Linked DNA regions of Medicago truncatula. The protein of the gene in region 1 interacts with the protein of each later gene in a pairwise test. Links are inferred from orthologs where the notes say so. Each region holds a gene or a part of one and is shown in the gene's direction. Other genes may lie near its edges.

Region 1 (7,808 bases):
AAGAAGCAATTAATATTATAAAATATACATATGAGATAAACGATATTTTAAAAATGACAAAATTGATGAGATAGAAATAGCTGTAATTGCTAGAAAAAAAAATTATGACTAGTTTGACCAAAACATAATAATTGTTGACATTTTGTATCAATAGTTCTATTATTGGTAAGCATTATTTTTGTAACAAGAAAAAATGCACCAATATGTTAGTGACGACAAAATTCCTTTGCTTTGTTGGCATATTTCTCACAAAAATGGGTTGGAAGCACGTTTTCAAATGTGTTTTGGTAGGAGACATTGCCAATAGGTCTCATATTTTTCTTGGTTTTTCATTCTTAAGATGGAAAGAAATATGCCAATTTGCCTGCAGAAAATCTTAGAAATCATGATCATACATGGTTGTCTTCATTTAATATGTTTGAAAATTATGCTATAGATGATTAGATCTATTCTTACCAAAAATTCTATAGATCTATTAGTAATATTGGAAACATTATAAGATGACTTTGCAGGCTTAGAGCTTCCAAAATAAGATGTCAAACAAATTAGTGTTTTGTTTTCCAGTATAGATTGGGCCAGAGACTAATAAACCTTAAATTATTGTGTTTTTTTTGGGTAAAAGAAACAATATTAGTTAATTTAAATTGATAGGTTAATATGAATCAAACAAACATCACATTATGATTGAAAATCAAACAACGTCGTATTAAGATGAGAAATCAACCAATGTCGAATCGAGACTATAATTAAGTGAATTATTGATCTGCTAATACTAATTTTTTATTTTACACCGTATAAAGAGGTTTACCTTAAAAAATGATGCATTGATGTATCTTTTTAATCATATAATTTTTCATTGTAGCTAATGTTATCGTGAGCTTAACTTAGTTGGTATGCACAATGGATAATATATGCAAGGTCCATGATTCAAATCCCGACCACCAAAAAAAAAATACTACAAAAAATCTAGTGTTTAAATTTTATTTTTTTTATAGATTTTTTAACATAAGTTTCTTAAAGTTCTACCGATGTCATCTTGATTGAGTCAAACTAAACCAACTTGTTGATCGATTGAGTTTGCTCTAAATTTCATGAGAAAAGATCGTAAAATTCTATGTTGTCGGCATCATTAAAAAAGATAGGTATAATTTATTACAATCTGAGAGTACGAAATATCTATTCTGTATACTCATAATTTTAATTAAAATTTCATAAAAACAAATGTTCATAATTTATATGCATTATCGAATATAAGACAGACAAGCAATTGCCTCCTTCACCCATTGCAGATGGAGGGTTTTAGGTGTAAATAGTTAACCTAGAATTATAGAGGTGCTGCCTGGAAAACAAAAAAAGAACAAATTTGGTTTATAAACCTATTTAAAGAGAACCACATCAATTAAACGAAACTACAAATATTAATTTCTTGTCATCGAAATCAGTCATCCATCAATGTTAATATTGTTTTAAATCAAAAACCAAAGTTGAGACTGATTGTTCTTATTCAAACGTGTCTCATTTTAATAATTGTTCAAACCGTATTTTTTAAGTTTTACATAATGCATATAAAGAAGTTTATCATATGAGTGTTGTTGTTGTTTTCAGTTTTTCATAGGTTTCTTTTACTTAAAATGAAATAATCTTTTTTTTTAACAAGCCAAAATGGAATTAATTAAATCAAAAGGAGTGGTTCATTTCGTACAAGGCATGCAAAAGAGAACCACGTAAAGTTTGTACAAGACAGGTCACTGCTGCCACAGAAAACAAAAAGCAAATAGACCAAAATAAAAACAGAAGAAGAACAACAAAGTTATTGTAAAACTCTCATGCAAAGTAGAGGATGTCTCCACCAGTCATGATAGCTAAAAGAACAGGTTGACCTACACGCCTTTAACCACCGAAAGGAAACAAAAGGAGTGGTAGAATCTTATTTTTTGTATGTTGGTTTGATGTAATCTTTTAAAAACAACTAATATCATATTAGTCTTTGAGTGGACTAATTTAACTTCTTCAAACAAATATTAGTCTTTGAAGAACGAGTTGTGCGCCAAAACACATTAACAATATTAGTTGCATTGAGAAATAAAAAACATAATTTTTTTAATGATAAATATGACATTAATGATAAAAACATGGAAATATTTTCCTCCGATAAATTAGAATAGTTGTTATTAAATATTAAAAAGTGGATGATGAATCCACGTGGGCATAACTCAGTTGGCAGAGAAATATATTGTTATATGTAGAGGTCAGGGTTTAAATCACACTTATTCACCTTAAAAAAGGTGAATTCTAACCACTAAACTACCTGACAAAAAAAGTGTCTGATGAAAAATATTATCAAGTGACAAAGATGTCCATTCATTAAGTTACAAGGATTATATGTCTTAAAAGTAAGAAATGATTTGTAACTTACACAATGTCTTGTTATTTGAGCTATTACGGGGAAATTTGTTTTAATTGACATTTTTTTTTTATGAAAATTCAAATTGTAAACATAGAGATAACAGAGGGAAGTTGAAAGGGAAAAAGACACAAAATGGTAGAATATCGGTGAATTATCAAATAATTAGAATGAGACAAGATATAGTTTTTGGTGGTAATTAAGTTTCATAGTTAAAAATAGATATGAATGAAATATGCATTTTTTTTTTAGAGGAATGGGAATGTACACATAGTAACATCCAATGTTCGCATTTTAACTCCAATTTTATAAAAACTCATGGAAAGAAAGTATAATAAAGACTTCTAATTAAAACAAAGGTTTTTTTGTCATATAGTATAATAAAGACTTATAAAGTATTGGTTCTCAACATAACCCCGTATCAAGTTAGACGTTGTATTTGAGGTTCGAACTCCCTCTACTTATGTATGAGAGTTTCATGGTTATTTATTGTTTCACTTATCTACCAGAAAAATGGGCTAAAGTTTAATGCATGTTTAACTCTCAAAAAAACATGTTTACTTATTTTTTGAAACGGCTAATATTATTCACATCGAGAGTATGCAAGGCGCACAACAAACTCGCGGGTACACAGAAAAATAAACATACAAGCATCTCTTAAAGAAAAAGAGTATAATTTGTAATTTGTTCTAGACATTTACTTTTCAAGGGATAGCAATGCATATTTTAACAAAAGAGGATAAAAAACTGTAATTCAAGTGTATCTCTGGATAGTGTGTTGTAATTTACTCTTTAGCTTATTTCTTCATTTTTATTGTTCTAAAGATTCTAACGACAAAACTTACACAAATACTAAATATTGAAAAGTGAAGAATTCTATTTCAAATTCACTTATGTAATACCAAACATCTTTACAACTAGCGTTTGAGTTATACTTACGATTAGGCATGACAATGGGGCGGGGGTGGGGACATGTTTTATCTTCCACGTCCCCATACCCTACTCTCATATACTTACTTGTTATCCTATCCATATCCAACGGAGATGCGAAATCGAATCTCATCCCCATCCTCGCGGGTTCGGGTATCCTCGACCCATCTCATCCCCGCAGTGGATAATATTTTTTTATAATATAAATAAAATATTTTCCAGCCCCGATCACAATCCAACAAAGAGATGATGATGATGATGATAGATGACTATGGTGATTGAGAAGAGAGAGGCCGAAAGTGTGAGATTTGAAAAGAGAAAAAAAGAGAACTATGATAAGTGAGTGTCGAGACTGATACTCTGACTGTGTGAGTAAAATAATTTAAGGTTTGAGTTTCCCTTTATATAAGTTTTGTTGCCATGCCTACTTATGATACTTCTCTTTCATTTTTAGTGTAAAAAATACAAGTTTTTTTTTTCTTCCGATTGTTGACGCCGACAAAAAAGATAGAAAAGCTAGTAGTCTTTTCTATAAGATAAGATAAGAAAATTAGCAAAACATTAAAAACTATAAATTTTTGGACTACAAGAAAATTAGTAAAACATAAGTATTAAAGAATATAATTTTTTTGATAACTAAATATTCTATTCATAAAAAAAACTAAAGAATAATTTACAAAAATAAAAATAAAATATTAAAGATTTAGATTTGACCAAATTCAAACAAAATATTGAAGAATAATAAATACAAAAGATTTGGTTTTGACCAAATTCAAAAGTAAAATAAAAAAATGTAGACACGTATTTAACAATGCATTACCACTTCATCAATTAATGAATATAAATAATAATTCATGTATTTTCATATTCATTAATTGATATGACAATACGTCATTGAATATATGAGTAAAATAAGTTTACACTGACGATGCATACAAATTAAATCTGAAAGAATATTATTAATTATAAGTTTTTTTTGACCCAATAAAAGTTTATTGAAATCCTTTCAAAAAAAAAAGTTTATTTAAATGGTAAACAATTGACTCACTTACAAGACCGTGTTCGATTCTGGTTATCAATGAGAAAATTTCTTGATATCCTTCGTGATCCTAATGACTCACATACACTTTTTATTTTTGGGTTATGCTAACCGGTGCCCCTTAAACTTAAAAAAAAAAAGAGAATTATTACCAAAAAAAAGAAAACTATGTTGATTTTTGGTGGATTAATTACACAATTTTTAATGCAATAATTACTGTATAATTTCCTTTTTAGTATCCTTAATCAGTGCTCCAAGGGCACCGGTTAACATTTTATCAAAAATTAATTATATTAATTTAACAAACAAATGTTAATTCTATGCTATGACAATAGTTTCATTTTTTTAATTTTGCAAAACCTTTAAAAAAAAGAAAAAGAAATTTGTAAAAGTTTGTAAGAAAATATTTAAATTTTTATATTAAAGAAAATATATCTACTTCATCACTCACAAATACACAATCAAATGCATTCTTTGCGTTTTGCGTTTCGTTTGAACAATTGAAGAATTCATTTTGAAACAACAACAACTCTTTCTCATATATAAACCGTTTCAAAACCCTTATGTTTCATTTTCCCCCAAATTCAAAACCCTAACCCTAATTTCTCTCTCAATTTTCCCAATTTCTCAATTTCACACCCCACCATGAGCAATGAGATTGTTCAAAAGCCTCCACCATCAATCCTCGTTGGTCGATTCAAAGCTTTGTTGAATCAACGTCGTGAAGAAGATCCTAGGTTGAGAAATTCGCAACCTTCAACAGAAGAAATTGTTCAGATTTACGAGCTTTTGTTGTCTGAACTCACGTGTAATGTTAAACCTATCATCACTGATCTTACTATCATTGCTGAACAACATCGTAATCATGCTAAAGGAATCGCTTTTGCTATTTGCAACCGTATTGTTGAGGTTTTTGTTTTTTACACCCCCTTTTGTAAAATTCCACACCATTGTTCAGATTAAGAGTTATTGTTGTTTTCATTGTTGTTAATTCAATTGTTGTCTATTTCATTGTTCTATTTGTTTTTTACTTTATGAATTTTGTTTATTGCTATTCGATAGGAAAAAGTTTCGATTTTTAGTTCATTTCATTTGATGGGTTTCACAGTTTTGGCGATTTTTTTTTATTTATAATAATTGTTCATTTGATTAATAATTGTTTATTTGGGAATTGGAAATTGAAAGTAATGATTTTGATGTAATTGTGATTGTGTTAAACCGATTAGTAGCATCTGGGCAATTGAAAATAATAAGGATTACATGGTATATAACTATTATATAACTATAACTAATAATGAACGATGCTGTCAAATACCGGGTGTAGTGTAGCGGAATTTGAACAAACTACCGTCGTTTTGCGATTAGCTTTTTAGTTAAAGTGTTGTCAAATAGCAGCACTAGTCCTATAGCAGCACTGTAGCATAGCGGAATTTGAACAAACCACTGTTTTCCGCGATTTGTTATTGATAACATTGTTAACAAATGCTAAAATTTAGAGATTCAAGTAAGTATAGTTAACCGTTAACACAATTGAGTAATTAAAAATCGATTTTCGGAACCTATAAAAGTGAAATACTTAGTGTATCAATGGTGGATTATAGAAGCCAGGGCACATAATTTCGTGTAATAATAATGGGGTTTACGGCCTATGGTGGATATAATAGGAATTGAGGACGATAGTGGCTTGCACGAAATCTGCCATGTCGTACTGCCATGGCGGCAATTTGACAACACTGGAAATACTATACTATATTTAATTTTTAAAGGATTTAGGCAGGCATTTCATCTGAAAAAAGGGAATTCGTTATTGTGCTTTTGCTGAAATGATTAAGTCTTTTGGTGACCTGCTCAAGTTGGAATACAGTGTTCCAAATCCTCACAGCTTTTCTTTTCTGTGAGTTTTTGTGCGTGCGTGCGTGTTATCTGAGTTACCTGTGTTTTAGGTTGCTTGTAGTAGAAATATATGAGAAAGAACATGGCTGCAATTGAATGTTAAACAATTTTCTGATTAAATTGAATGATTTTGGAACATTAGCATATACTTGCTTGGAGTAAATATTAGGTTAAGTATATTGTTAGTCTTGCAGTCATGTATCACACATATTAGACTATTGATAATCCAGCTTACTTCATATATATTTCATGCCTATGTTAATATGTTATTTTTTAGCTATATTTATAGCGTAGTATATTTGCTGTTATTGTTTTTAGACAAGCTATTAACCAAGGTTGTGTATTACTAGTAGCTTATGCTAGAAGATTGTTGGGTTGCTGGTGTCATGTCATCTACCTGACAGTTAGGTCAATTTGATAGAATTCTATCTATTATATATCTTGATTCTGTGTATATTCATTTCATCACTTTTGCATTTCAGAATAACCTATCGTATTCTTACCAGTTTGCGTTCTCTCCCAAGCTTCATCACCACTTATCATTTTCTATGAATACCTATAATGCCAATTTTCAACCCTCTTACTACGTAACACACACTTTTATCATTTCATACAAAGTATACAAAGTAACTAGTACATAGTTTGCTTTATCTTTGTCAACATTGGTGATTTCAGAGGCAGAATAATAAAATTGTTTAATTATGATACTGATGCCTCTTCTAAGTTTATATGGGCGTAGTTTGCTCGTACCAATGAGAAATAAGTTTGATTCTTTGTTGGAAAAATCATACAGGGACTCTTACAGAAGTATTGGTTCTTAACCTAACCCCGTATCAATTTTGATTTTTGAGATTAATTGTCACTAATCTCTTCTCTGAAATGGAAACTTTGTAAGAATTGGTTAAAGAATTCGGTAAATAACTGTGCAGTAAATCATTTTATAGTTGTCCAGAACACATAACTCATCATGCAAAATGTTGTCACTGACATGCCACTAAGTTTAGTGTGGAGACTGGAGAGTGATTCCTTTTTCTTTTCTATTTTTTCATTTACTATCTAGTTAATAGTTTGTAGTGTAAAATCAACGTCTCTATTATTATTCGAATCTCCGCTGTTTGTATCGTCTCCAATTGTTTATTTTTTTTCAGGTGTCTGCAGATCAAAAGCTACCTTCACTCTATCTCTTGGACAGTATTGTGAAGAATGTTGGCCAGGAATATGTTCGATACTTCTCGCAGCGTCTACCCGAAGTAGGTCATTTCGAGTTTATTGTAATTTGATTGAATTCTTAAATGATTTAATTCTGTTATTGAAACTTATAGTTCTATTGTCTGCCTAGGTTTTCTGCGTGGCATACAGACAAGTTGATCCAAGTTTACATTCTGCTATGCGACATCTCTTTGGTACCTGGTCAAAAGTCTTCCCTCCTTCTGTCTTACGGAAGATTGACGTGGAATTGCAATTTTCTAAACCAGTTAATAATCAACCATCAGGCGTTAATTCCCTTAGGGCTTCTGAATCTCCTCGACCAACTCATGGGAT
Region 2 (7,907 bases), on another chromosome or scaffold:
TGTTAAGGGAGTTGGCCCCTATTGTATGGCATTGTTTCCCCTTGAAGAACATTTTAGTATGCATGTTTGTCAAATTTCAAATCATCGGCTGATTAGCGCGTAAAGGATGGATAGTATCCGTGGTTGCTCTCTTGCATAACCGTCAATATTTTCATTTTGAGCTCAATGAATGGTTACTCGAAAAAGGTGGAATATTATTTCATGATTGCTTTCTTTCATTATTATTAGTCATTCCATACAAAATCCCGTAAGGAGAATTCGAACCCACATCACCGTAAGGTGGCAAATCTACGACATGCTAATAAAATGGTTGATGAAATAAGGTTGGTGGAAAATTATTTCAAGGTTTCGATCTCTTATAAAGAACACATCATATAACCATCAAGTAGTCGTGTATGCATACCAGAGTCCAAATCCTTATAAAGAACATATTATTGATTGAGGGCATGCAAAGTTGCGCCATAAGTCAGAACATTTGACATGACTAACGACCTTCCACTTTGTTCTAATGCATTGTCAACCATGTCTTTCGACGCCATTTTCCCCTCAAGACAGGTAGTAGCAAACATATTCGGCGACATCTTTGGTGAAAACCTTGCTTGAATATAATTTGGTTGAACTTGTGATAAAAGTTCTGCCTAAACAACATTTGGTTGAACCTATGGTAAAGGGTTATGCCTTAACACATGCTTGCATTTGTTGTGGTACCAAAAATGTGAATAGGGTGTTCACCTTCATGGTCTCATTGGGCATGCCATTTGTTGTTGTCGTGCAAAATTCGATGCTGCCAAATGGTTGTGTGATTATCCGATGTCATAATAACTTGGTTGATTTATCGATTCCTCAATTTATAAGATGATATGTGGGTTTATTTTCACGTGAGACGATGATTCCCTTTTTTGTCAAGTGATTGTGTTGAGAAAGGGCTTTGTTTCTTAGATGTGGGTTCATATACTGCTATAAAGAGCGTTTAGTTTTGAAGGATGAACTACCACCTAAGAATGCATAAAAAAAAAAGTAAAAGAAAATGATAAAGGAATGATAAAAAAAAAAAAGGTGTAAAGACTTGTTTGATGTGATGTATCTTGAATAATCTTTGCGATGAGTAGTTATACACTTAGAATAACTAAGCAACTTATGCTAACATTGTTTACCATGTTTTTGAATGACTATCTATCATATTATATCATGTAAGATCATGGCTAACATCACTAATATAAGTAACCAGGGGCGGATCTTTCCAGGGACCCCTGACAATCATGGTACCCCCAAGTTTTCTATATATATTAGATTAGGCATAATCTATACACTAGTACTCAGTAGGCGCAGTAGAAATGATGTTTGTTTTTCCCTTAGAGGTCGCGTGTTCGACCCTTCCAACTGCTTTCTTTTATATTTCTGTTCAATTTTTACTATTTTGTTAAAAAAAAATGGCTCTTATAGGGATTCAAACTGGCACCCCTGCTCTGCATTCAAGCAAAACAAACCATTGGACTAGTTAACAATTATATCCTTTTCTTCAAACAACTTAATATATATTTCATACAATTCTAACACCCTCAAAAAAATATTTCAAGATCCGCCACGGTAAATAACTACCTCGTGGATTGAATTACAACTTAAAATGGTATTGTTCGCATAGTTATATTATCCATGTCATCCATCACCTTATTATTAAGGGAGTAAATCTTCATGAATGTTTGAACTTAGTCGGCCACAATTATCCATGACATCTTGTTCATATTGTTGAGTTGAAGGGAAAATTGTACTTTGTACGACTAGCTATTTGGTTGACATCTACCCGTGTTCACCACAATTATATTTTTTAGATAGTGGATGTTTGACCATGGTTTGCCATTGAATTTGACATTGGGATAAGTTTTATATGTATTTTTTCCTTTAACCACTTTATTTACCATGCCACATATGTAGGAAAATTGTCGTATGGTCTTTGAACTTGATCAAAACTATGTTGCATCCTTTTAGAATACCATTACAAATTACCATCGGTTGATTGTCATGTAATGGTTATTCAATCAATTTAAATTTGGTATCTATGCTCGTCCTGTCTGCCACGAACCACGATTGCCATCGGTTGATTGTGTTGTCCTTGATATCTAAATCTTTTTAATCCATCCCAACGGGAAAAATATATATATGATTCGACTGTTCATTTTTATTTGCAGTAAATATCTTATAAATCGAGAAGTGTTTACAACAATAATAATGAGTCATTGGACTAAAAAATAATAACGAGTTATTGTTGCCTCCTTTATCGAAGATAAATCGCTAAGGTTAGGACTTCGTCCTGCTCATACAATCAATTACTTAGAGTAATAAAAGGACTATTAACATATTTATAGAGTGTGTTCCCTAAAAAAAAAATATATATATAGTGTGAAAGCGACATCTAACTTTCACTATGTTCAAGAGTGTTAATTTTTTTTTTAAGGTTTAAATAGTTTTTTGTCCATGCAAATATAAGTTATTTAAATTTTCGTCCATAAAGTTATTAATCCTTCCAATCTGCCACTGCAACTATTAATCATTTGAAAAATGGTCATAATTACATCTGATTAGTAACTTTAGGGATGAAAATTCAAATGACCTATTTTTGCAGGGACGAAATACCTATTTAAGCCAACTACCTCATTCAATCATCATTTGTCACATGGGCACCACGTCACTAATGACAACCCACCTCAACAAAAAAACCTACTTATGACCAGAAGTCAAATATTAATATTTGCAGTGGCAGATTGGAATGATTGATAACTTCATGGACGAAAAGTCAAATGACCTATATTTGCATGGGCGAAAGACTTATTTAAGCTTTTTTTAATAACACATCTATTAATAAATTAGTCAAAAGTAGCAAATAATTAAAACAATGCAATCATGAGTTGTTCGTGATTTTAGTCTCAAATATTTGAGCGAACTTTAACACATGAAAAATGAGAAAGAATGTATTCATAAGTATTAATCAATACACTAGAATCATGAAGAGAATCAATGAAAAAAAGATTACATTGAAATTATGAGAACTAAGTATTGCATTGTTGATCTCTTATTGAACAACCAGATAGTAAACTTTGTTGATATAGGAAAGAGAATCAATGAACAAAACTTGAGTTTTAACTATAGAAAATTACTTATTCAGACCACTCAAGAGTTGAATGATTTGATCTTCACTCTAATAGTTGCAAGCAACATGCATAGCTCTATAACTACATAGATCAGGGCAATTGCAATTAGACATAGGTATGTGAGAGTTCGTCTGTGTGAAATAATCCAAAATGGGTTTCGATTATTGCCTGAGATTATTAATCGCGAAACATAAAGAGGATATATGAATCCTGTCATTTTTTGAAAACCATTTTCTGAGGTCTTCCAACACAAAAATAACATTGGAAAATTATAGTTTGTACAATGAATTTAGAAAAATGATTGATAGAGCATGAAAGAATAAGGGGATTACATTGTTCTCACGCACCTCGATTCAAGTCAAATTGGTTAGGTATAGGAACACATTCATCAAGGAACCATTAATGAGTTCAGGGGCGGATCTCTTTGGGGGCAGGCAAGTGTCATGGTATCCCCCAAAGTTTCCTTATATACTATATTAGGAGTATAATATCAATTTGAATTGAGCTGCTGCAGTGGAAAGAGGAACCGTGAATTGTTATAGTTCAACACTTTGCCATCTTTTTTTTACTTGTTTAATCTTCTATTATAGCATATTGTATTTAAAAAAAAAACATTTTGAGGGGATTCAAACCCACTTCCTCTTGTTCTTTTAAAACATTTTATACCACTTGGCCAGCAATTAATTATTGATAATACTTTAAACCAGTTAATATATATTCCATAAAAGTTTGGCACCCCCAACAAATTAACTCAAAATCCGTCACTGAATGAGTTATTCATGATTTACAACCGTTTTATATTTTTAACATATATAATATTAATTTTTACCTGACATGCATGACTCCTACAATCATATTTAAGATATGAAAAATGAGATGAAATATATTATTTTACAAGATATATTGGTGGTGCAATGTGTATGTACAATTGATTGGTTGAAATGCATGACTTCATGACATTTCTTATATTCAATTTTTTTTTTTAATTTAAAATTAATGATACGTTTAATTTTATCATTTTCTAATTATTATTTGCATCACTTAAGTTCTGAATAAAACGTAATATTCTAAATTAAAAATTAAATTATAGATCAAATATCTAAGTTTATGTTTAATTTGAATAGTATTTATTATGTTTTATTCACCCCGGTTAAATTTCATATTACAATATTTTTTTTTTTCACTTGAGAATCGGATGCATATGTATGAGATGAGATTATATAAGATCGAAGCTTAAATTTCTATCAAACTTTTAAAACTTACAATATTAGTACCATAACATTGAAAAAGAACCAAAAATTAAATTCAAAAAGACAAATATAATTTTTTTTAAATATTTAAATGAAATAACAAAACATAATATCAATAATATAAAAGAATTGGAGGTAATTGACATGTCAAAACTGATAAAATTATTTATTAAATCTATAAGTTATTTAACTAAAAAAATGTTTTGTCCTATATTTTCTTTTTAAGGTGGATTTTAGGGCAAGGGTACGGAGTATAAAAAAAGAAGTAAAAAAATATGGAGTTCTTTGGTACTCAAACAAAATTGAATTGGTATAAAATCTTTGCGCTTCTCAACTAAAAGCTTCACATCTGTTGTCGGGAACCAAAAGCTCCACCGTCGTGGCCCGTCGCACTTCCGCGAAGCCCTATCATTCTCCTACTTATCTATTACTTTCAACAGAACCTTTTTCCATTCCCTATCTCCGCCGCCTCCACAAACCCTAGTCTTTCACATTCTCACCCGTTCAAAATGGCGTATGGCGGTGCAGGTCCCGCTGTTACTAGTTCAAATTCGACACCGACAATTAAGCAAGTGAAATTGGAAAAAGAATGCGAATTGAGAATTGAAGTCTCCGACTCACCTCTTCGTCTTCGACTCCTTAATGGAAACGCTGAGATTTTTGGTACCGAGCTTCCACCTGAAATCTGGCTCAATTTTCCTCCTAGACTCAAGTTCGCCGTAACTCTTCTATTCCCTTCCATCCTCTTTTATAACAATTTTCATATTTTCTGCTAGATTCATTAACATATCATTTTCTTCATGTTAGGTTTTTACTTGGTATGGTGCTACCATTGAAATGGATGGTACTCCTGAAACTGGTTATACTGCGGATGAGGTAAATCACTTTGAGATTATTGCTTTCAATCTTTCTATCAAACCCACTCATGGAGGGAGGATATTGCAACTTCTTTTTTTTTTTTTTTTTGAATTGCAGACACCAATGGTTAGTTATGTAAATGTGCATGCTATTTTAGAAGGAAGAAGAGATCGCGCTAAGAAATCACCTTCAGACGACTCTGTATTATCTCAGGTAATTTTATCGTGTTTTGTGATTAGGAGATTGGATGCTTCATGTATGTGTTGGTGCTGATTGTTTTTTCGTGTATGGCTTTTATTTTGCACTGTAGGTATATCTTTTTGAAGTTTTATTTTTTATGGTTTATTATTATTATTATTATTATTACGGGTTTCAAAATTTGAGCGTTTATTATAAATTGCTGTGTTTGGAAGAATGAAATTTGTGATTCCTTTGAGGTGTATGATGTATAGCTTGTTGTAGTATGTGAATTAAGTATCAAATGATTTGATTGGTCAGGGTCCTAGGGTGATTGTTGTTGGACCTTCAGATTCTGGAAAGACTACCTTGTCAAGGATGCTTCTTAGTTGGGCAGCTAAACAAGGTTGGAAGCCCACCTTTGTTGACTTGGATATTGGCCAAGGGTCTATAACAGTTCCTGGATGCATTGCTGCCACTCCAATTGAAATGCCCATCGATCCGGTGGAGGGAATTCCTCTTGAAATGCCTCTTGTTTACTTTTATGGACACACATCTCCAAGGTAATTAGAGCTGTAATTCCTATCATATTTTCAACTATTAATTGGCAAAATCACATGAACACACATTCATTTGAAGTTATAAAAAATCATTAACAGCACACCGAAGGAAATGAAAATACAATCACCAAATAATTCTTTTTTTCAGTAATAATGTAGAATTGTATAAAGTGCTTGTCAAGGAGCTCGCGGGGATACTGGAGAGACAATTTGCTGGCAATGCTGAGTCCAGAGCTGCTGGAATGGTGTTAAATACCATGGGATGGATAGAAGGACTGGGCTATGATGTAATTAACCTTTTGAACCTTAAATTATTGTTGAATTGAACACTGCTGAAACACAGAATGTACTGCTAATTCTGATTACTAGATCTTGATTATGGTGGTCTTTTTCTCCCATCTCTTACTCGTTCTTTTGGTTGTATTTTATTGCAGATGCTATTGCATGCAATCCGTACATTCAAGGCCAATGTTGTTTTGGTTTTGGGCCAGGTAGATGGTAGCCTTATCTACTATGCATCACACTTCCCCATAACTAATACCTTGATTTTTCACTCAAAATAAATGAATCTTCCTTGGGAGGTGCTCTGTATATTATAATTTTTTGTAAACTCAGTCTCAGGCTTTCCGTTTGAACTCCTTATAGGAAAAACTGTGCAGTTTGCTCAGAGACGTGCTTAAGGGTGAGCCTAAAGTAGATGTTGTGAAACTTCAGAGGTCGGGTGGAGTTGTATCTAGGCCTGTGAAGTTCCGTCAGAGGTCCAGAAGTAATAGGATAAGGGTAATCCTACTTTTCCACTTTTCAATATTTTCTGCATGTTGAAAAAATCTCATTTGTCTTCTTTTTTTTTTTTTTTTCATTTTAGAGGACTTTGATTGTTAAATGTTAGTTAAATGGGCAAGTGGTAACCACGGTGGGGTTTAGGGAAGGTTTGAGCCCATTGAGGTTCTATTGTAAAAAAAACTTACATAGCATTTGCAAAAGGCCTATTACACGACTGGAACCCGTGACCTCATAATCCCATGATTCCACTTCAACATATTAAATGTTAATTGTTCTGGCTTAGCCAAGCAGTTAATTGCAGTTAATGAGAAAAGAATGATTTTTCTATGAGAAATAGGTAGAATTAAGTATTGGGTTGTGTATTAGAAAATTGTAACCAAAAAAACATAAAATTTTAGTGAAGGGAAATAGTTCTTTTGAAAATAGTAGGATCCTTTGCATTTATCAGCACTGTTAAAAACCTTGTAACTTGTAAGCACATATTTGTTTGGATATAAAACTGCATTGCCCAAAGATTGCTTCTGGATATTTTGCTTGTAGCTTTGGCCTTTGGGTTAGTTTTTTTTTTATTTTTTTCTCCCTGCTCCTTGGGCATTCCTAACATTCACTTAATTGTCTTGCCTGTTCCAACTATTTTGTAACTCTAATTAAAATTGCTGCTATTTGATTTTGACGCAGGAATACTTTTATGGTCTTACAAATGATCTTTCTCCTCATTCGAATATTTCAAATTTTGGTGACTTGTTTGTTTATCGAGTTGGTGGTGGGCCACAAGCTCCACGCTCAGCGTTGCCAATTGGAGCAGAACCTGCTGCAGATCCAACGAGAGTTGTAGCTGTGAATATAAATCGAGATTTGCTCCATGCAGTCCTTGCTGTCTCATTTGCCAAGGAACCTGATGAGATCATTTCAAGGTAACTATGATTTGGATCGAGCAATTAATTATCCAAATCTTAATACTCGTTTAAGGTTTAATTTTTTATACAGCCCGATGATAGTGTTTGATCCCTATATTATTTGTTGTTGCTTCGGAAGTATCACACTTCATAATGTCAAGTGTAGGCCAACAAAGAAAAGAACAAGTGTATTGGCCCATGAGGTAACCTCTGTTGATTAGTTAAAAACAGTTGGTC

Evidence for each region. The genes of interacting proteins can lie anywhere in the genome.
Region 2: the proteins of polyadenylation and cleavage factor homolog 4 (region 1) and protein CLP1 homolog interact in a two-hybrid assay, tested with the Arabidopsis thaliana proteins (3 studies listed by BioGRID). The link is inferred for Medicago truncatula from reciprocal best matches to the Arabidopsis thaliana genes PCFS4 and CLPS3.

The regions. Positions count from the first base shown.
Region 1 is NC_053047.1:3,170,344-3,178,151, forward strand, and holds the start of polyadenylation and cleavage factor homolog 4, read left to right. Parts: upstream 1-4,808; 5' UTR 4,809-5,018; coding exon 5,019-5,282; intron 5,283-7,414; coding exon 7,415-7,516; intron 7,517-7,605; coding exon 7,606-7,808.
Region 2 is NC_053042.1:56,156,360-56,164,266, reverse strand, and holds the start of protein CLP1 homolog, read left to right. Parts: upstream 1-4,905; coding exon 4,906-5,115; intron 5,116-5,203; coding exon 5,204-5,272; intron 5,273-5,371; coding exon 5,372-5,467; intron 5,468-5,752; coding exon 5,753-5,994; intron 5,995-6,139; coding exon 6,140-6,278; intron 6,279-6,425; coding exon 6,426-6,482; intron 6,483-6,636; coding exon 6,637-6,771; intron 6,772-7,452; coding exon 7,453-7,688; intron 7,689-7,907. UniProt on the Arabidopsis thaliana protein: Required for endonucleolytic cleavage during polyadenylation-dependent pre-mRNA 3'-end formation. Functions in gametophyte, embryo and postembryotic development.